Diceros bicornis minor: one gene and its partners. The protein of the gene in region 1 purifies or fractionates together with the protein of each later gene. This does not show direct contact. Links are inferred from orthologs where the notes say so. Each region holds a gene or a part of one and is shown in the gene's direction. Other genes may lie near its edges.

Region 1 (8,000 bases):
TGGAGGCCAGAAGTCTGAAATCAAGGCGTCAGCAAGGTTGACATCCTTTGGAGGCTCTGAAGGAATTTGTTCCATGCCTCTCTCCTAGCTTCTCATGGTTGTAGGCAATCTTTGGTGTTTCTTGGCTTATAGACATATTACCTGAATCTCTGCTTCCGGCTTCACATGACGTTCTCCCCTGTGTGTCTCTGTGTGTCTTCTCCTTTTCTGTCACTTAAGGACACCTGTCATTGGATTTAGGGTTCACCCTAATCCAGGATGATCTCATCTGAAGATCCTTTTCATAATTACAAATGCAAAGATCCTTTTTCCAAGTAAGGTTACATTCACAGGTACTGGCAGTTAAGTTGGACATATCTTTTGGGGAGACACAATTCAACCCACTACAAAGTATATTTTACCTTTTAGAAAATAGGGATGTCACATTAAATATTATTACCAGAGCAACAAATTATTAAGTAAGACAATCAATCAGAATTACAGACTTTTTAGATGTTAAAGGTTACTTTCACAGGCCACAACAACAATCTCCTAAGTCAGGGTGTCTCTTAATTAGAATTTACATTTATAAGGAAAGTTTTATGATACAAACTAGTATCTGCTTTTCTGGCTTTCTAGGAGAAGACTAAACATTTCTTCTTATCTTGTTGAGATTTCTTTCACCCGTAATTATGAGGGTCTGTGGTTTTTCAAGGCCAAGGCCTAGAAAGCCATTAGTTAGCAGCAACAGGAAAAAAAATTGGTCTGAGAGCTCAAAGCTTACGATGTGGAGAAGCACAAAGGAGCAAAATAGGGTATTTAATAAACAATACGGAATATGGAATGCTTTACATCTATACTTCCTAACCATAGATTCTACGTGTCCCTAAAGATTTGCATTTTGAATTATTGCAAAATTTTTCCAGAAGTATCAAAGGGGTGGCATCAACAAGGTACAGTATGGATATGTGGACAATGACTCAAAGGAGCTGTGGGGGTGCTAGGGTCCAGGTAAAGTCAAGTTATCTCTGCCCTTGCCTCTGGTGTGGACCATTGGGACCACCATCTGCTCCCAGAGTCCTGTACATCCACATCTCTGGGCAGAGTTTCACAGGTTCAGGGACAGGAGTAAGCCTGTTATCCTATCTGTGTGGTATGGCTATGGCAATGGGCATGGTACTACAAGAGGTATTTCCAGTAAAATTTCCAAGTCCCTCCCCACTAGAATTCATGTAACTGTGGCAGGAACATTATCCTGTGGGTCAGAGTTGGCATTTGGATCATCAGAGGATCACTGGGATAAGGTATATACCCTGAGAGAGACAAAAGTGGAATTGCTGATAGGGCAGTCTGAGAGCTGAGAATAAAGGTAGGGAAACCCAAAATCACTTCCTGACCCAAAGAGTAAGAGTGAAATAATAAGGAGGATATGGAGCCAAGAAACAGGAGCCGATAGAAATTAGATCAAAATGGAAATAAGTCAGAACAAGCAAAAGAGGTCTTGGGAAATTTGTTTAATTTCCATGAACAACACTACAGGTACCTGAGCTTATCTTATTGGTTTATTGATGGGTGGGATACAGAAGTATTGGGACGGCTTGAAGGTTAGAACTCCTTTATCTTCATGTTTCCCCATCTATAACCCATAGTTGTACCTACCCTTTTTATTTTTCTTTCCAAATAAGGAGAATGAAATGTCTCTTTTCTATTCAAGTCCAGCAACTTCACCTATATTCTTAACCCTATGTCCATCATCCCAATCAATATTCAGCAAAAATTTATTAAGTAGCTACTATGTCCCTTCTCCTTCTGGTTCTTCCTCCTTTAAATGTCCCCCTACTTTCTTATATCTCTTTCTCTAATGGATCCTTCCCCTATAAAGCCTATAAACATGCTCAAGATTTGTCCATAAAAACAAAATAAAAGCAGAAACAAAAACTCTCCCTTATTTCTGTATCCCCTTTTAATCACTACTGGAATCCTAAGATTGGTCGAGGGTTGGAGTTTACTGCTTGCATTTGGTCTAAAAAGAAAAGTGCTAAAGAATTAGAGGTGCCAGAGAGACGATGGCTCAGATTGCCAATCACAAGAGCTCAGTCTGGTCAGGGAAAGAATATTAGACCACAAGAAAAGTCTGATAGGTGGGGAGAATATAGATATATTCAGAAATCAAAGAGCTGGATGAGGTCAAAGAGACAGTAGTGGCAGAAAGGGTTGCAAGAACTGGATAGATTGAAACCAAGTTTGCAGTCAAAGAGTTAGATATTAAAGCTTAAAATTTTTGATGAGAAACAATTTTTAGTGAATGATCAAGGGTGTGGCCATGGATGGTCAAATAAATTGAATGTCTCTAGAATGGAAGAGGACAAGGAAGGATAGAACATTAGATGAATTGTCCACACGGACATGAATGTCACCCAAGATGAGAGCAAAATGTTAAGTAATAAAAAAGATTGTAAGCCAGCTCCTCAAATCTTCTATGAAAAAAGGAGAATACCCAAGGTAGTAGGTCAGTAATTGACAGCAATAAGGAGAGACAGAAGATTCTCCAGCTGGATGAGACAAGCTTCAAATAAACGGAGGTTTTACACAAGCAAGTAAGAGTAATTGCTTGGCAGTGTCATTAGGGAATTAGAATGAGCCGGCTAGTTCTCAGCCCTAACGTGGGTGGGCAGAGAATAATAATTACCTGCCACCGAAAAGGCAGCAAGGGGTTGTGGTATCCTTGGGGAGAGTTAGTAGACGAGGAGACGACTTGAGGTAGGGAGAAGACCAGTTGGAAGACTGTTGCTTTGTCTGGGTGAGAAAGGACGACGGCCCAATATACCCAATAGCAGTGAGAATACAAAGAAGGAAATAAGTCCTAAAGCTATAAAGGAGATAGATTGCTTTGGTAACTGATTAATTGTAAACACTAAGTAGGAAGGATAGAAGATGACTTCCAGGATTCTTTTTTGGGCAAAGAGGTATATGAATGTGCTCTTTACTGAAACAGGAGGAGGAGCAGGTTTAGAAGCAAAGATAATGAGATCAGACGGATTTGAGAACCATCATCTCTCAATGGAAGTCAAAGGCAAATAAGTGAAAGAGATCACTTAGGAAGAGTGTTTTGCTTTGTTTTAGTGAATGAACGAAACCTCTTTACCTCTGTGGCTCTGCATTAATTTTTTTCCTGTTGGTCAGTTGTCTTGATTTGTTATTTTTGTTGAATTTGTTCCCTATCCCCCTCTTGACAAACAATTATTGAATGTCTCCATTGTGCCAGCTGCTGGGAATACAAAGGCAAAAAGCTCAGTTCTCTCCCCTCACTTCTCTGACCTCACACTACTGCTCTGACACTCTTGCCCCTCTCACCAGGCTCCTAATCCTGTCATTACTTTCAATCATTTGTAAGAGTATGAACTCTTTCTCCCATTAGAATATAAACTCCCTAAGAGCAGAGACTTTGTATCATTCTCTGGTGTATTCCCAGACACTAAACAGTGCCTGAAACAAAGAAGGTTCCCCCAAAATATTCATTATAGTAATGAATGAAGAAGAACAATGTTTGACATACATGCTTGACAAGGTAAAATCATAAACCCATATAACAAATAGCACAAAAGTCATCACTGTTCTGGTTAAATTTATTTCCAATTTCTTAATTGAATTAAAATGGAAAAAAAAAGCAAGCAGAAAATAGCAATGACTCCATCTCACAATCATTAAGATGGCTATCAAAAAAACAGAAAATAGAGCTAGCCCTGATGGCCTAGTGGTCAAAATTGTGGAGCTCTCACTGCTTCAGCCACCCAGGTTTGTTTCTCAGTCACAGAACCACACCACCCATCTGTCAGTTGCCCTGCTGTGGCAGCAGCTCACATAGGAGAACTAGAAGGACTTAGAACTAGGATATACAACCATGCAGTGGGGATTTGGGGAGGGGAAAAAAAGAAGAAGATTGGCAACAGATGTTAGCTCAGGATGAATTTCTTCCCTGCAAAAAAACCCAGAAACCAAAAAACAGAAAATAGCAAGTGTCAACAAGGACATGGAGAAATTGGAACCCTTATGCACTGTTGGTGAAAATGTAAAATGCAGCTACTGTGGAAAACAGTATGGTCATTCAAAAATATTTAAAAATAGAATTACTATATGACTCAGCAATTCTACTGTTGGGTATAAACAAAAAGAATTGGAAGCAAGGACTCAAAGAGATATTTGTACACCTCTCTTCATAGCAGCATTATTCACAATAGTCAAAATGTGGAAGCAACCCAAGTGTCCATAGATGGATGAATGGATAAACAAAATGTGATATACATAAGATGGAATATTATTCAGTCTTAAAAAGGAAATGCTGATGTGCATAAATGACCCTTAATGACATTATGCCAAGTGAAATAAGCCAGTCACAAAAACGACATATCTGATTTATATGATTCCAGCTACATAAGGTACCTAAAGCAGTCAAATCCATAGAGCCAGAAAGTAGAATAGTGGTTGCCAGGGGCTAGGAGGAAGGCAGAATAGGGAATTAGTATTTAACGGGTACAGAGTTTCAGTTTTGCAAGATGAAGAGTTCTGAAGTTAGATAGTAATGGTTGCACAAGAGTGCGAATGCACTTAATATTACTGAACTGTACATTTAAAAATGGTTAAGATGGTAAATTTTATGTGCATTTTACCACAATTTTTTAAAAACTAAACGAAAAAGAAAAGAACGACGACTGAATAACAATCTACATCAATCAAAACCAGTAGGGAAAGGAGAAACTCAGCCCGCCCAGCCATAACTGAACTTGACCACCAGGCTGCGGGAACATGAAACCAAGGGCATTGCAAGGCCAGGCCTCCGACACTCCGCAAGGCGAGGCCGCAAGAAAGCCGCCGGTCAAAGCAGGTCACTCCCGGACTAGGCTGCCACTGCGCAGGCGCATATCGCAGCTGCCGAGGCGCCTTTTAAGCGTACCTGGAAGTGACGTCTATAATGCTGAGACACGTTGCGGGAGGATCTGAGCGATTCTGGTAGGCGAGCAGAGGTGGGGCTGGGGTCGGGTGGCAGCTATGAGCTGCACCATTGAGAAGATCCTGACAGACGCTAAGACGCTTCTGGAGAGACTGCGGGAGCATGATGCAGCTGCCGAGTCGCTGGTGGATCAATCGGCGGCGCTGCACCGGCGGGTAGCCGCTATGCGGGAGGCGGGGACAGCGCTTCCGGACCAGGTCAGGCAGAGGGTAGGGGTCCGTGCCCTCAGGTACTGGGCACTTGAGGGATGGAGGGCGAGGTAAAATGGAAACTCGGCCTGGAATTTATTCCTGGTCTCAGAGGGCATCGGTGAGACCTTTCTGCGGGATCGGGGCTGAGAATGCTGCCCTGGAGCTCTGACTCCTGCCTCTTCATTTGCATCTGTGGCTGTTCTGTTGACGGCGCACTTAGTCTGTCTCTGTTTGTCCAGTATCAAGAGGATGCATCCGATATAAAGGACTTGTCCAAATACAAACCTCACATTCTGCTCTCCCAAGAGAATACACAGATTAGAGACTTGCAGCAGGAAAACAGAGGTTAGTCAGGACTTTTTTTGTAGTTACTATGATTTTCTCATATCCAGTAATATTTCAAAGGTTCTTACAAAAGTGTCATACTGTTCACAAAAGTGCACGTGCTGTATGTATTTCCGGGTCAGTACTTTTAATAGGAAAAGTTACTGCGCTGGCCCAAAACAATGAAGTTTGTTACATTACCCTTTTCAATGTCATCTGACTGATTTTGTTTTTATAGGCAGCTTATCAAAGAGATGCTTAGTAGAGCTGAATTACTGCGTGGCTTATTTAGGCATCCCCAGGTGGAGGCTTGCATAACGAAAGCGTTAATATCCTCAAGGGCTTAAAACTTAATGTTTAAATATTAATTGAAATAAACACTAAAGACTGAAGGTTTTTTTAGGTTCTTGTGTAAGTGGAAGAGCTGAATTTTATCTTCAGGGTATGTAGTCTTAAGCTTGAATGAGTACATTATTTATGATAGGGCTATGAATAGTTATTTGTATATCAGTTTACAGAGGGCTTTCACATGTATCATCCCATTGTATTCTCATATCTTCATTTTGAGGTAGGCAAGCCAGGTATTTATTATTACAATATAGATAAAAAATAGGCTCAGAGAGGTTAAATGGTTTGCTTGAGTATTAAGCTAGTAACTCACAGAACTGAACTCAAACCCATGTCTTCTGATTCCACATCTCATTTTGTTTCTGCCAGACTATGCTGCCACTAGCCAGAAAGTTATTTTTCACGTAGACCTTAACTGTTGAGTTTTTTGGACCTAAACGCAGATTTACAACTTTGAATTCACAATATCTCATAGAGTGTCATAAAATTCCAACTGTTAAGAGTTTGGCTTTGGGAGTTATCTCTCAGACATCACTGCCAAGTTATTTTATTTTTTGATAGAGCTATGGGTTTCCTTGGAGGAACATCAGGATGCTTTGGAACTCATCATGAGCAAGTACCGGAAACAGATGTTACAATTAATGGTTGCTAAAAAAGCAGTGGATGCTGAACCAGTCCTGAAAGCTCACCAGTCTCACTCTGCAGTAAGAAACTTTGATGAATAAATTCTAAGTGAACTGAATTAAAATCTTGAAATTGTTTTGGATTGTGTGCTTGTTTTTGTTTTGTTTTGTTTTGTTTTTTTGAGGAAGATCAGCCCTGAGCTAACATCCATGCCAATCCTCCTCTTTTTGCTGAGGAATACTGGCTCTGAGCTAACATCTATTGCCAATCCTCCTCCTTTTTTCCCCCCAAAGCCCCAGTAGATAGTTGTATGTCATAGTTGCCCATCCTGCCAGTTGCTGTATGTGGGACGCTGCCTCAGCATGGCTGGACAAGCGGTGTGTCGGTACGCGCCCGGGATCCGAACCCAGGCCACCAGTAGCGGAGCGCATGCACTTAACCGCTAAGCCACGGGGACCGGCCCCGGTGTCCTTGTTTTTTTAAGAAAAGTAAGCTTGTTTTCCTTTCATGTCTATCACATTCGCTGTTGATTTTGCTATAGCTTTGTAAAGATATGAATAGAAAGAAGAGGGTAAAGGGTTGTTCAGGTCCTTTTATTTGAGTGAGACTGAGATTCCTCCCTCCCTCACCAAGATCTTTCTTCAACATGTTAATGAATGCTTAGTTCTTCCACCAAACATAATGCCAGTTAGTGTTGAAGGTGCTCAGTAAATACTTGGTTATTATAGTACATTTCACTAAACTGTAAGCTCTTTGATTGTAAGGAGCATGAATTCATCTTTTATCCCTAACATAGTACCTAGCACATAGCAGGCAGTCAGTAAACCTTTATTAAACTGAATTACATAGCATTATACTGTGTTGTCAGGAGACAGAAGTATGGTTTTAAAAAAATAGATATGGCATAGTTTCTACACTTCAGTTGCTTATGATTTAATTTGGGAGACCCAGTAATTTTCCTTATGTTTGTAGAGTGCTTCATAGTTGTCATTGTACATTCACATATACTCTGTAATTTAATCCTGGATTAATAGATTGGCGTGTCACTCTTTGCTGCAGTGGAATTTATGAAAGATAAGTTTTATCTTAGATTCCATTGAAAAAATTTTACTGACTTAACCAAAGTCTTAGGGAACAGGGATATTTTAAATATGTGAATGGCATTCATCTGGAAGAGAAAAATAAAGTTTATTTTCTGTAGTCTGGAGGAGAACACTTGAACCTTGAAGGAGACAGTTTAGCTCATATGAAAAACATGCTAAGAGATATGTCCAAAGATAGAATAAGAAACCTTGGAATGTGGTAAGCTTCCTGCCAATAAAAGTATTCAAATTTAAGTTAAACAGCCACTTAGAGATATTGTCCAACATGCAGTGGTTGGTTAGACTAGAATTGATCTTTTTTTTTTTTTTCCTGAGGAAGATTCACTCTGAGCTAACATCCGCTGCCAATCTTCCTCTTTGTATGTGAGCTGCCACCACAGCATGGCCACTGACAGACAAGTGGTGTAGGTCCACGCCTGGAAC
Region 2 (7,402 bases), on another chromosome or scaffold:
CTATATATATACATACACACACACACACACACACACACACACACACATATATATATATATAATCATCTAGTTCTTGCTGTCATCTTACTGAAAGGAAATAAAACCTCTAAGGATCACCATTTCTGAGAGGCTCTTGGAAATCTTTATGTCTAAGTGATTGATTAGATCAGCAATAATGACTATGTAATCTCAAAAGATAAATAAAATATTCTTCGAGTGGATTCTTGTCTTGAGATTATTCCTTGCTTCTGTTAACTAGGAATTCAGAGATGAGAGAGGTTTCTGGGCAAGAGGCCGAAGAGCCTGCTTCAGGGCAAGGATGTAAAAAGCGGAAGTAGTTACTGAAAGGCACGTTTGAGTGGCCTTAGCCTTGAATTCGTTATTCTGTGGTGGTCCACTCTACCGATAAACATTTCCCCTGACCCGCCGGTTATGTGTGTAAAGAATCTGCTTTCTCAGAACCACTGCCCTGGGGAGTTGAGAAGTATAGCCTTTTTTTTTTTTTTTTGTAAGGAAGATCAGCCCTGAGCTAACATCCATGCTAATCCTCCTCATTTTTTTTTTTTGCTGAGGAAGACCAGCTCTGAGCTAACATCTATTGCCAATCCTCCTCCTTCTTTTTCCCCCCAAAGCCCCAGTAGATAGTTGTATGTCATAGGTGCATATCCTTCTAGTTGCTGTATGTGGGACGCGGCCTCAGCCTGGCCGGACAAGCGGTGCGTCGGTGCACGCCCGGGATCCGAACCCAGGCCGTCAGTAGCGGAGCGCGCGCACTTAACCACTAAGCCATGGGGCCAGCCAGAGAAGTATAGGCTTAAGGAAGAGAAACTAAAGCCGGGTTTTAGGTCCCCCAAGCCCTCTGTGTGCTGCCCTTAGCTGGAGAGCACAGGAAGCCATGTTTTGGGATCAAAAGACCTGATACCCAGGACCTGACTACATCCAACCAAAGAGAAGACAGAAATGAATCTGGCAGAGATTTGTCAGGTTTTGCCTGACTAAATCAGTAACCAGAGAATGAGTTCAACTGCCTGTTCCTTCTCAACTACCAGTAGAGTAGCCATTTTTGAGTAGCCTTCTGATAGCCATCTTCTTTAGTTGACAACCTAAACTAGTTCTACATCTGTATGCAAGATGCAACAAAGAAGTCAGACAATTCCTTGTCTCAGTCTAGGGCCCTACAGCCTCCATTGCCTCATTATACCCACATGTGCCCTTGCTGTGGTGAGGAGGGTGTTCTATGCTATTTCTACTACATTATCCTGGTTGCCCAATATCCTCAAAAACTAGGTGTTTTAAGAATTCCTGCACCTTATTTTTAAGCTTTCTCCTTACTGGTTACTATCTATTTAATCAAGTATCTGACTGTGGTTTAAGTGGAGTGCTTACAGGTGGAAAAGTGTATGTTTGGTCCTTGTAACTATAACTATACCTCAAATTCTCTACCAGCAGCCTCAGAATACCTGAGTTTTGAGACAGGGGCAAGTGGTAGTGTAGGTAGTGTAGGCTCTGCACTGGAGCCATCTCTGCAAAATGGAAAAACTTGTAGACCAGCCCCTGACTAATTAGCTCCCAGGTATATTTATAGGTGCCTCTGTGGTCAATAGTATTGATGACTGTCACATCTTTGTTGACAAATAAGCTCAAAGAATTTGAGTGTGGGCCAATTCCAGGGCCTATAGTTTCAAAGTTTTCAGTTAATCTCTGGTTTCTTGTTACATCTTCCAGGAGTTGTTTCCAGGTATCTTCTTCCTTTTGACAAACTCTGAAAGCCTGGGCCTATACTGAGCAGATAGATGTCGATGTTTACTATCACCCATTCCACTGGGACTGAGGTCTTTCCTCGTGTTGATTCTTTGCAATCTCCATAGCACCAATTTTTCATACCCCTTCTCTGAAAGTGAAGCCAGATGGAGCTCTAGGCTCAGCAATTGGCTTTACATAGAGGCCAGTGGGGCCTTGAGAGCTGTCCTCAAGCCTACTTCCCAATTGAAGATCACTCTGCTCCCTTTGCCCTTGGGATAGGCTGGAACAGGAACAAAACTGGCCACTCCTGTCTGCCACCACTATTGGGGATCCTGCTGATTGACTAGGCTCACAAAAGAAAATACGAATTTCTGACCCAGTCAGTTCTAGAGCTCTGACTGCTTAGGAAGAGAGGTATTGGGAAGAAGGGAGGTAAAATAATTAATTCTTTTATTAAGAAACCCCAATGGGCTGTGCTGTGGCAGGTTTATCACACTGAAGCAGTGATGAGCTAGGCGTGGGTTGTGAATTTTAAAGCAGAGTATGAATCTTTAAGAGTTTAACAAATTATACCCTGAAAAAAGTTCCAAAATCAAATAATGTAGTCCTTGAGCCAAGGACTTTCTTGGAAATTCATATCAATTCAATTCTGTTAAACTAGTGGGTTTCAACTGCAGATTTTTGCCCCCCAGGGGACATTTTGCAATATCTGGAGACACTTTTGGTTGTGACAGCTAGGGGGAGAGTACTACTGGCATCTGGTGAGGAGAGGCCAGGGATTCTGCTAAACGTCCTATAATGCAAGGGACAGCCCTCCACAACAAATAATTTTTCAGTCCATAGTACAGAGACCCTGTTTTAAATATGCACATATGAGGGTGTACAAAAATGAACAAAACTTGGCCCTGCTCTCAAGGAGCTTATTTCCAGGTTGTGGGGTGTGTGTGGGAATGAGAGAGGAAAGGGAAAACGGTGGTGGGTACAGTAAGGAGATGTTGGGGACCAGGGAGAGAAAGGAACTCAGAAAGCTCCAAGAAGTGCTTGCACCCTCTCTCTCTCTCAACTGTCTTGATCTGTCACCTACTGACTAGCAGAGAAAAGTGTGAGGGTGAGATATGGTTAAGAAAGGGACAGAGTTGTCCCTAAGATATAGGAAGGGGCAGTATTTCCTTTGGGCCTCCTACTTTGGGGATATAGTAGAAAATATAAGGATTTTGCATCCAGGCAGAACTGGCATGACACCAACACACCTTGTGGTTGTGGGTTGGGTTGTGGTTGTGGGAGTGGGTTGAGGAGAGTCAAAAGGATGTCTTTCTGGAGGAGGAGGTGATGACTAAATAGAACCTTTAAGGAAGAATAGAGGTTAGCCAAGAGAAGAATGGAAAGTTTCCTCCGGAGAGAACTGCCTATGCAAAGACACTGAGAAAAATAGAAGATGATACCTTGGGAACTGCAAGGAATAATTAATCTCCGTGCGTCCTGGTTTCCTCAACAGTAGTATTGGATTAGTGAAAACAACCTGTCAGAGAGAGGCATGATATGACATCTGGAAAGTGCCTAGTGCAATGCCTGGAACAAAGTAGCAGTTCAACATTATTCCCCCAATCCCACCCATTTGGTCCCACTCACTCCCCTCAGGCTGCTTGTTTGGGGCTTCTGTTACCAACCCAGACTGCCTAAATATTTACTGTAAGTTGCTTTTTAGATAAATTTCTGAACGGGCAGACCACACAGCCTCGTTTGCCCCAGTTAACGCTGAGCCGTTAGGAAGGATCTTAGAGGAAGGAAGGAATGGACTGGGGAGCGGGTGGAGGTGGGGACTTGCTCTCCATTCAACATTTACTGTAGCTCACAGCATGAGGAAGGTGCCCCCCTACAGCAGAGAAAGGCAGATGACCAGGAGCAGCCCTGAAGGGCACCAGCAGTCTCAGTGAAATGAAAACGCCCCACCCCACCCCTCTACCCAGTCTCCCAGCCGAGCCCTCACTCCAGGAGGGATGAATTCTCGTCAGAAATCTCAGCTTTCAGAGACGGCGAGTCCTTCGTTTCTTGCGGTGTCCCCGGCCCCCGGCAGTGCCATCCCTCCCCTGCGACTGAAGCGGCATTTGGGAGGTATGCAGGAGCGGGGATAGAGGTCTGTGGTAGTGGGAAAACGGAGACTGCAGCGGAGCAGGAGGCGGAGATAGAGCTCCCCGAAAAGGTCGCTATTTGGGAGGGGGTGAGTGCTGAGGGACACTGAGTGAGAAGCAAATCAATAATCCGCCTGAGCTCAAGACCCAGAATTCGGGAGGTGGAGCCGGTAGCCAACCCAGGAGGCTACTGCTACCGGCAACGCCGCAGTACTTGGGGGGGAAAAAAAGGAGAAAAAAAAAATCCCTTGAATGAGCCCCCACCTCTTCCTAGTCCCGCTCCGAGAGGTCGAACAGCCAATCGCGCCGCGAGGCGGGGCTGCGGGGAGCGGTCGCAGCCAATAGCTGCGGAGGCGGCGGAGTCTGGCCGCCGGCGCGCGGCGAAGGGGTCGCCCCGGGCAGAGAGCGTAGAGCCGCTGAGGGGAGCCGCGGCTCCGAGCTGCATGGAGGACCTCGCGGCGCCCGGGGCCGGGAGCCCGCCCGCCAGTGGCAACGGCAACGGCAATGGCAAAGGGAAGCCGGCGGCCCCTAAGGGTCGGGAAGCGTTCAGAAGTCAGCGGCGGGAGTCGGAGGTGAGGAGCCCGGAGAGCTTCAGTTGGCGCCGGGAGACGCCCGCGGGCGGGCAGCGGTGGCTGAGGTGGTTCGGCCCCGTCCCCCGCCCGGAGCCCCCGGCGCTCCTCGGGCCACTCCTCGGAACTGGCGCCTGCGGGGTCAGCCGCAGCCTGGACCCGGGGCTCTGCAGCCGCTGACCCCTCTCCGGCCGTCTCCTGCCGCGGGTCGGGGCTTTCTAGCCCTCTGGCCTCCCCTCTAGGGGCGCGAAGATGTAGCGCGAGATCGAGCGTACCAGATACTTTTCAGATATTTGTCTCCCTTAATCGTTGCAGCCCCTTGGAGTGGGGACTCGTATCACCGATTTCCGAGGAGGAAGCAGGCGCGGAGAGGTTAAGGGGCTGGCCTGAGGGGTGGGAGGCCGGGGCTCCGCCGCAGTAAAGACGGCCCGGCGCGGGGGCAGCGCCCTCCCGCCCCGAGGAGTCCAGCGGAGCCGATCCAGATGTGCCGCGTGACTTCTGCCCTGCTCCTGTCCCTGTGTGTTGGCAGGTCCTTTAGGGAGCGCCTTCCGCGGACATCGGGACCCCCGCCTGTAAGGGTTCATGAGACAGGATTCAGGCGGGGGCCGTACAGGAGTGAGTGGATGGAACTGTTCCAGCATACAAACCCACGGATAGGAGTATGAATGTTTGGGTCGCTTCCTCTTCTTCTGAAAAGAAATCCTAACGAGGAAGACGAAAGGAGTGAATTATCGTCACTCCCCCACTCCCTCATCCAGCCACTTTCCATCAACTAGCCAAGAGTAGATGTGGATCTGAGTGGGGATCAGAATAGACGACAAAGTGTCAGGTGTGGAAGGGTCTGTAGGGATCATCTGGTTTTAGCCCTTTCTTTGATGGAAGTAAAAGAGACAGAAGTAACTTGTTCAAAATCATACATCTGGCGTAGTGGCCAGGAGTACAAAGCTTTGGGGTCACTCAGACCAGGTTTTGAATCCCAGCCCTATCGTTTACGCTCTCTGGGACTTTTGGCAAATTGCCAAACCTCTCTTTTCCCCGGTTTTTTCATCCTTAAAATGAGGTTAATGCTATCTACCTCAGAAGGTTGTGATAAGGTCAAAATGCGATAATTGAATGTAAAATGTTAAATTCAGTGCAGGCACAGTGCATGTAATTGGTCAATACATGGTAGCTCTTAGTATTGTATTATCATCATCATCAAGGGGCAGAGCTGGTACTAGAAGCCAGGTCTTAGGTGTCCCAGTCCACAGTTTACCATTTGAATAGTATGTCACAGTTTCCCAAGGGGTTTCATGTATGCTTTCCATTTTGGTACAAACGAGTAGGAATCCATCCCATTTTTTAAAAGAGAGAAGAGGAGGAGGTAAAAAGACTGGCCCAAAGTGACATCACTTTTCAGAGGCAGAGCTCAGCCCTCTTGTCATGCTAGATCGGGGTTCTATTCACCACATCATCTCCCTCCCTACCTCAGTATGAATCTGGCCTTTTAGGGCACCCTGTGCCTTCTTCCCCCATAGAGACATTGTTCTTGCTCAAATGGTTTTTTTTTTGGGGGGGATGACTCATTCATTAATTCAACAATTATCAAGTCCTTTCTATATGCCCAGCACTGTTTTAGGTGCTAGGGATGTAGCAGTGAACAAGGCAAGGTCTTTGCCCTGTGGAGCTAACATTCTAGTTAGGGTGGAGAGACAGGGTATATGCAAGTAAATAAAATAATTTCAGAATGAAATGTTCTTTGGGGGAATTAAAACTCCAGAAATAGGATGCCTTTTCCTTACCTATCGTCTTCCTTCAGGAAAAGGCTGTGGTTGTACTTTACTTTTGCCAGTGAGTTCAGTATCCAGAGACTCATAGCTTTCCACCTGCACTGCAGTTTACCTCCTGATTGTCTGCAGCTGCATTTCATGCTTGGAAATGAAGAACTGCAGTGATGCTCTCCATCTGGGCCCATGGCCTGCCAAAAGGCTGGCTGGAAAGATTAGCTTTCCTCCACCCTACTGCAGCAGGAGAGCTGCGTTTACCTGTCAGCACATCCCCTATCACCACAACACCCAGGTGCCAGACTCAGATGACTGTGTGCTATTCCTTCCATCCCTCCCTTTTGCTTTCCTATGGAAGATAGTCCTCAGGGGTGATGGTTTTCTTTCCTCTCTGGGGCTTCTAAAGAATTACTGGAAGAGAATTACTGTTGGCACAAGTCAAGAGAGCCTCCTCGTACATCACTTGTTTATAGGGGCACTGTTGACCTACCCTCTCCCAATGGTTTAGTGTATGAACATCCTAGCCTAAAAAGGAAGCTAGAGAATAATTGTTTGCTTAATAAAAAGATTCTTTTTTTTTAAATAATTTTATTTATTTATTTTTTTCCCCCAAAGCCCTAGTAGATAGCTGTATGTCATAGCTGCACATCCTTGTAGTTGCTGCATGTGGGACGCGGCCCCAGCATGGCTGGAGAAGCGGTGCGTCGGTGCGCGCCCGGGATCCGAACCCGGACCACCAGCAGCAGAGCACACCTAACCGCTAAGCCACAGGGCCGGCCCCAATAAAAAGATTCTTAACCTAACCAAAGGATTCACCTCAGGCCTCTTTCAGCCAGATCCCCTGGTTTAATTGGTTCTCAAAGTCCTTGACAAAGTTTTAACTGGTTTGTGGCAAAATGAGGAAAATTCAGGGCTTTGAAGTGAGTTTTTCATAAAATGTAGTTCAATACATTAAATTTAAAGGATGTATGCAATTTAAAACAGTTTTTTTCAAACTGTGGAGGGTAACCTGTGAGTTGAGACCAACTTTTTTTTTAAGAAATGGAATAGAAAATATCAGTACATTGCATATAGTAATGGTAAATATTACTTTATTAAACTTTTGTTGCAGTTTTGTGTGTATGTTAGGACATGATGTAAAATTTATTTTTACTTTGATTTACAGTCAAAAAAGTTTGAGGGGCTGGCCAGGCGGCAT
Region 3 (7,473 bases), about 4.3 Mb from region 1:
GGTACCAGGAGAGGAAGTGGGGAAGACTAGAGTGGCAATGGTCATGAATAGGGAGCTCCAGAATATGTTTTGGTGAGAGAGTCACTGGTGAACTAGATGTGAGGGGTGAAGAAGAGAGGAATCAAGGATGTGTCCTAGGTTTTGCCTTGAGAAAAATGGGTAGTCGGTAATACCATTTATTTAGATCCTAAGGAAAAGCAGGAGAAGAGCAGATTTTGGCGCAAGAAAGGGAGAATACAGAGTTCTGTCTGTAGCATATTAAGTTTGAAACGCCCATTAGACTTCCACGTGAGATGTCAAATCAGCCACTGGATGTATATTTGGGTCCTCTTTTGACTAATCCAATCTATATGTAAGAAGGCTAGGAGGTTATAAAGTAATCCGACCTGGGACAGAGTTAAGCTGACTGATTCCTTTGGAAGATAGGATTAATGATATTTGCCCTATTAACCACCTACCTAAAATATTATTAATCTTTTCCTCTTCTCATAGTCATTAATGGAGAGAACTCCACATGGCACTACAACTAGAGGGGAAGATCTGCCCATAGATGCTCCAGGAGTCATAACTTTAATATTGAGCATTTCAGTGACTAGCAATATCTTGACCAGGGCTAAGATGGAAAATGCCAGAAACAGGCTCACTTTGTCTGCCAGCACGCACTCAGGTATGGATGGATGTGAAACATCTTGCCCAGTACCTGACATCCTATAAGAACACAGTATGTGCCAATTTCCTTCAACAGAGCCCGCTGGAACAACCACCCTGTTCTCGGTGGAGCCCTTGCAATGCTACAATGTCTCAAATATAACATTTCACTTCCAGTCTCTTGAACCATGACTGCTCATGGTGAAGGAAGGGCCTTCTCACCTTAGGCTTCACCTCTTGGTAATAATAATTCTCTTTTTTGAAAAAACAATGCTTTACAGTTTTCAAAATGATTTCACATAAATTAGCTCATTTGATCCATAGCCTCATAAGACAGGTGGGATTATCCTCATTTTACAGATGAGGAAAGAAGGAAAAGAACTGCATGAAGGCGTTTCTGCAACTTCTACCCTCTATGGGGCTGTGCTTTTCTGCAAGTTTCTTAGCAAATGGAGAAGAGTGAGTTCTCCAGCTGTGCTTCAGCTCCTTCACATTTGGAATCCTTTTTCCTACCAGAAGCCAAATGGAGTATAGTTCAAGGAGTTTTTGCCAGAGTAAAGGGAGGACTCTTTGGGACTCAAAAGTGATGCCAATTTAAGTAGCTCTCCTGGGCCGGCCCAGTGGCATAGCTGTTAAGTGCGCGTGCTCCACTGCTGGCGGCCTGGGTTCAGATCCCGGGCATGCACTGACGCACTGCTTGTCAGGCCATGCTGTGGCGGCGTCCCACATAAAGTGGAGGAATATGGGCACGGATGTCAGCTCAGGGCCAGTCTTCCTCAGCAAAAAGAGTAGGATTGGCAGATGTTAGCTCAGGGCTGATCTTCCTCACAAAAAAATAAATAAATAAAATAAGTAGCTCTCCTATTTAGAATTCTTGAGCTAGTCACAGCTTGGAGACACTGCATTTCATTCAGGAAAGGTTTCCACACAGGCTCAGACAGTTTTTATAAAAAGGGCTTGTTACCTCTCAATATTAAGTTTGAACAAGCCAGAACAACTGGAAGCAACCCACATGTCTGTTAACAGGTGACTGGATAAACAATGGGATGCTATTTATGAACTATTAATATCATGTAACAAGATGGATGAATTTCAAAATAACTGCGTTGAGTGAAAGAATTCAGACAAAAAAGAATACATATTGTATGATTCTGTTTATGTAAAATTGGAGAATATGCAAACTAATCTAAGTGTCAGAAAGCTTATCAGTGGTTAACTAGAAATGAGAGAGGGGCACAGTAATGAGTAGAAGGGAGGATTACCAAGGGGCACAGGCAACTTTTGGGGGTGATGGATATGTTCATTATTTTGATTGTGGTCATGATTTTATGGTGTTTACATATGTCAAAATACATCAAATTGTATACTTTGAACATGTGCAGTTTATTGAGTATAAATTATACCTTAATAAAAATAGCACATTGATTATAAAAATTCCAAGAACACAGAAAAGTATAAAGAAGGAAATGAAAATAACCTATGTTTCCAACATCCAGAAATAAAACCTACTAAGTTTCTGGTATATTTCCTTCCAGTCTCTTTTCTACACATAGACATAGACACACACACACACACACACACACACACAGAACCAATTGTACATTCAATTATATCATAAGCATTTTGCCATGTCACTAAAAATTCTTAATATTAAACACAAATATTAATGGCTTCTCTATATTCAATCTTATGCATACCCCATTATTTAGTTAGCCATTTTCTTATTGGCTATTTCTCAGATTAGGTTGGTCGCAACTTTACACTATTGAAAATACCACTGCCTGGAACATCATCATACATATATCTTTGTCTAAATCTTTGATTATTTTCTTAGGATTTATTACTACAAGTGGAATTGCTGAACCCAAACCTTTCTTGTTCTGAATGTAGCTGAAGCAGTGTACAGTGTTTAAAGGTCTAAATTTTTTTTTCCCAGATGATAGAGCTTATGGTAGGTCAGTCTTAGAACTTGTCCAAACTGTGGTCACTAAAACTAAACATCATTTGTGTGTTGGGTCGTGTGGGATTTGCTGATTTTATCTAAGAAGCCTCTCAGCACTGGTCCTTTTCCTGCAAATTCCTTAGTTTTTCCTATCAGCTTGGCCCAGCCTAGTTTGGATGAAATGCTAATTTACAAAGTGTATGACTAGATTTGAGAAGGAATAGAGGCAAAGAACAGGAAGCTAGGTAGGAGGAAGTAGCAACATGGTGGTTTTGGATTTATTCATTATTTTACAAAAAAAGACTTTTAAAGCACCTACTAGGTGGGACCTTGGTAGAAATCATGCAAAAGTTGCACCACAGCGACTTTCCTAGAATTGAGCTGGGAGTGTGGAGCAGCCAAGATGTAGTTCTGGAGAGACAAAGATAATAAAATGCCTTTAAGGATCTCACAGCACAGTAACGCGTAATTATTACACATCACCTCTAAGATGTCTAACGGGCATCTCAAATATGACATGTCCCAAACAGAAATCTTGATCTTCTCCCTCAACCTGTTTTTTTTCTCCCAGACTTCTTTATTTTAATAAGTAATACAACCACCCACCCACTTGCTCAAGCCAAAAATCTAGGACTCATCCTTTATTCCTCTCCATCCTGCTGATAGGATTCCAGCCTTTCAGCAAATCCTGTTGAATCTATTTACACAATATAAAAATATCATATCAACCCAAAACTCCACCCTGATGCAAGGCACTATTATTTCCATCTATATAGTCTCCTAACCCGATTACCCTCACCTACTCTTGCAACTCTCCAATCCCTTCTCCAAAAGCAGCCAGATTGGTCTTTTAAACATCAGACCATGACACCCTCCTGGTTAACATCCTCTCATTGTTTCCCATTTCACTTAGAATAAAATCCAAACTCCTTTCCATGACTTTTAAGGCCCTGCATTTATCTGGCTCATGCATTACCTGGCCCTCATCTCCTACTATTCTTCCCCTGGCTCACTCAGTTCTTAGCACACTAACCCAGAGCCTCTGCAGTTATCTGGTCCCTCTGCCCGTGTTGCCTCTGTGGATCTCTGCACCGCTCTCACTTCTTTCAGAACTCATTCAAAATCGCACTCTCAGGCCTGCCTTCCTGGGGCAGCCTAATATAGCCATCCCCCGCCCCCACCAGCGCTGCCACCTTCTAATCCCTTACACTTCTTTTTGTTTCTTCTCAGCACCTGTTTGTCTAACATTATATTTGCGTGCTCACTGTTTGTCTCTCCCACCAGGCAGTATGTTATGCACCATGAGGGCAGGAACTTGATTTATTCTCCCTTCTATCGCACTACCTGGAGCTAGAAGACATTCACTAAATGTTTTTTGAATGAACGATGAATAAATATTTGTCACAACTGTAATTGTTTTATTGATTTATTCATTTGCTTAGCATACCTCTCCAAGTAGATGTCAACTCGTGAAGACTGGGATGGTGTCCATTTTGTTCACTACTGTATCCCCTAAGCTTTCAACAGGGCTGTAACAGCGACAAGTGCAAAACGATGTTAAAGAAAGGAAAGGGAGACTAAACTGATTGAAGGAGCTAAGGGAGGCCGCACAAATAAAACAACTAAGCCGGTACTGAAAAAGCAGTGGAAACGAACTGGCCCGAGAAGAATAACGTTTCACGCAGAATCTCACGAGGTGTTGGGCAGTCAATATGGCTTCCGGCACTTGCCGCCACACTTAATATGGCGACCAGGGAGCGTTCCTGGAGGAAATCACGCGAGAGTTGTATCGCGGCTACTGTCCGCGAATTAAGCCGGGGGTGTGGAGCAGCCAAGATGGAGCCGGCAGCCGGCGGACCCGGCTCGCTGATCTTGAACAATAAGCAGCCCCAGCCGCCGCCACCTCCGCCGCCAGCAACCGCGCAGCCTCCACCCGGGGCACCGCGGGCCGCCGGGGGTCTGCTGCCTGGGGGCAAAGCCCGAGAGTTCAACCGCAACCAGCGCAAAGACTCGGAGGTCAGGAGCTTCGGGGGGGCGAGGCTAGCGGCGGGCGGCGGCGGCGGGTGGCCCGGGTCCGGGGCCGCTCTCTGATCCGAGGTGGGCTTCTCAGAGGGTTCGGTAGGGCCCGGCAGGGGACTTGTTATTTTACAGCGAGAGGAGCAGGAAGCACGGCTGGCATCCCCGGGGCCGGGGGCGCGAGGCCGGGGTCCCCGCCCCGAGCTCCGCCGCCCGGGAGAACCTCCGGAGCCGGTGACTGCTCCTCTGGGGCTGGGGCTGTGGGCGCGGCCTCGGGGCCCCAGCCCCTGGGGAAGCCGCCCCGCTCCCAGTTCGGGGGTGAAGAGTCAGTGGTCTGCGTGCGCTGCAGGGGGCCGGGCGGCTGCACCCCGACTTCTAATCGCCTCTGGTCCTGTGGGTTCCGCAGCGCGGGGGACGGCGTGTGTGGGCAGGGAAGGGCCTGGCCACGCTTTGGCAGGCACTGCGAAGCCGGACGGAGCTCATTATCACTAATAGTACTACGCGCCCGGAGACTGCTAGGGTAGGAGGGAGGGAACCTTCCCTGTTCACTCAGACCTTAGCCACGGCGGGTTCGGGCCATGGTTTGACAGTGCCTGGTGGTTGGTGTGCCCAGCGCGCCCGATGCTGAACTCCGATCAGAAATATACATTTTAAACGTACATTAGAACTCAGCATTCCCTCCTCTCTTGCTAGTGGGCTGTTCCTCCCGGTCCGGAGACACCATAGTTTGGAGCTGACTAGTCACCTCACCCCGAGTTAAAGAATTACTCCCACTGCCTCCCATTGTAGAATTCATGAATGAAGACACACGTCGCAGCGTTTTAGGGCTTCTTAATCAGCACGTTCCTAAAGCGCTTACTGTGAGGCTCCTTCACCTGAGACAACTCAGAGGTTGATCAGCAGTCAGGCGCTGAAGAATGAGAGGGAATTCCTCGTTGTCCAGGCATAACGTTATGTCCAGGTCATACTAAAGCGTGATAGTACTCTCTTTAGACTTGTGAAATCAGTTCCTCTCAAGCTTTTGTTTTTTGTTGGCAAGTGCAAACCTCTGGTAAAACGTGTCAAAATTTGGCAAGTCCAAAGTAGACATACTTTGAGCTTGAAGTGAATTATTTGAAAAAGCAGTGAAACTGACCTTGTAGGAGCCCGTGCCTGGTGGGGTGATGGGACATCAATGGAGACTACTTAATAATTTTTCAAGTGTAGAGGATTATGAAAGTGGTGGGGGTGAACCCACCTTCATTATGAGAGGAGTTATAGTTTAAAAATAGTTTTAAATTTTCCTAAGTAGCCATGAATGGTCAAATAAACACCCTTTGATACATTTAAATTTCTCTTTCTATCCTTTAATTTCCATATAGACTGAAAATGTAGAAGGTCGGTCAGTAAACACATTTAAGCTGAGACACCTGTCTAAATTCGTTTTCTTAGAGATGCTGATGTTGCCCTGGGCTCTTTCTGGAGTCATAGCTGAAATCAGTAGGCTGGGAGCCTGAGCAATGCCTGGAGGACAGGGAGACTGACACTTGATGAGAGCCCACTGTGCGCTACATAATTTTGAGTAGTCCTTAAAAACCTTCAAGATGGATTTTTGTCATCCCTGTTCCATAAATGAAGAAATAAGTTCAGTAACCTGTGAAAGTATACATTCTGTTGCCTCTGAATAAGGAGTTGAATTCTTCATGTCATTCAGTGTTTGTGGGCATGTTAGGGCATTTTGTGGGTGGTCTTTGTCTTCCCAAGTAGATTGTGATTAAACCTGAGGACTTCTTCACTTCTTCTCTCTTCACAGAACAAGCCTTCCAAGATGGCATATTCTCAGTGATCACCTATCCCCAGCAGTAAAAAGATTCTTTTTGTCATATTCTCTCCTGTGTCTGGGAGGGGAGCCATTCTGTTTGGCTGCTGCCTACTCTGTCTGTCACTTCTCCCTGAAGTTTGAGAAAAAGGCAGGAAGGCTGAGAGTGTCGATGCTCATTTTTGTCTTGAGCTTTTGGTAGCCCACTAGCAAGAAAGAAATGAGGCTTCCGGAATCTTAGCACCATGTAGAATGGTCATTCACTATACAAAATGCATGGAAGCTTTGTGTTCATTCATCCAACAAGTATTTTTTTGAGTATAAACTATTCATTCACTCATTCATGCCAAGTAGTGTGCTGGGCATCGTGAAATCATTGATGAGAAAAATGGACAAAGTTCCCACTCTCAAGGAACTTGCAGTCTCTTGGAGAGGCAGACACTAAACAAGTATACATGCCAGTATATAATTATAAGTTATGATAAGTGCTCTAAAGGAAAAGTGCAAGGTGCTCCGAGAGGGCTTAATAGGGAGACCTGAGTTCGCCCATGAGACAAAATACTGCGAAAAAATATCAGAAGAGTGGAGGTGATGGTGTCGTGTAACACAGCAGTGTATCTGGAAGCATATGTGTTTCCTCCTTTGGAAAACACTCACAATGACTTTTTGTGTCACTCTCTCTCTTTTTTTCAACAGGGCTATTCTGAGTCACCAGACCTCGAGTTTGAATATGCTGACACTGATAAGTGGGCTGCAGAGCTCTCAGGTAAAGCATAGACCTTCATATTATTTGGCTGGGTTTTGTTTTTTCTATTTGTTTTTTTGTTTGTTTGTTTTTGGTGAGGAAGATTAGCCCTGAGCTAACATCTGTGCCTGTCTTCCTCTATTTTCTTTGTGGGCTGCTGCCGCAGCATGGCTTGATGAGTGGTGTAGGTCTGCACCAGGATCCAAGCCTGCGAACCCGGGCCACCCAACTGGAGCGTGCCAAACTTAACCACTACGCCACCGGGCTGGCCCCTATTTGGGGATGTTTTTTTCCTTATTGGTCTTTAATAAGATTGAGTGAATG

What was found.
Region 2: the proteins of SIKE1 (region 1) and STRIP2 purify together in Homo sapiens (affinity purification with mass spectrometry; 3 studies listed by BioGRID and IntAct, with this or other methods). This does not show direct contact. The link is inferred for Diceros bicornis minor from reciprocal best matches to the Homo sapiens genes SIKE1 and STRIP2.
Region 3: the proteins of SIKE1 (region 1) and STRIP1 purify together in Homo sapiens (affinity purification with mass spectrometry; 3 studies listed by BioGRID and IntAct, with this or other methods). This does not show direct contact. The link is inferred for Diceros bicornis minor from reciprocal best matches to the Homo sapiens genes SIKE1 and STRIP1.

What each region holds. Positions count from the first base shown.
Region 1 is NC_080743.1:47,414,650-47,422,649, reverse strand, and holds the start of SIKE1 (suppressor of IKBKE 1), read left to right. Parts: upstream 1-4,982; 5' UTR 4,983-5,025; coding exon 5,026-5,184; intron 5,185-5,417; coding exon 5,418-5,523; intron 5,524-6,411; coding exon 6,412-6,554; intron 6,555-8,000.
Region 2 is NC_080742.1:78,071,365-78,078,766, forward strand, and holds the start of STRIP2 (striatin-interacting protein 2), read left to right. Parts: upstream 1-4,315; coding exon 4,316-4,444; intron 4,445-7,402. UniProt on the Homo sapiens protein: Plays a role in the regulation of cell morphology and cytoskeletal organization. Required in the control of cell shape. Calmodulin-binding scaffolding protein which is the center of the striatin-interacting phosphatase and kinase (STRIPAK) complexes.
Region 3 is NC_080743.1:43,080,109-43,087,581, forward strand, and holds the start of STRIP1 (striatin-interacting protein 1), read left to right. Parts: upstream 1-4,426; coding exon 4,427-4,606; intron 4,607-7,100; coding exon 7,101-7,170; intron 7,171-7,473. UniProt on the Homo sapiens protein: Plays a role in the regulation of cell morphology and cytoskeletal organization. Required in the cortical actin filament dynamics and cell shape. Part of the striatin-interacting phosphatase and kinase (STRIPAK) complexes.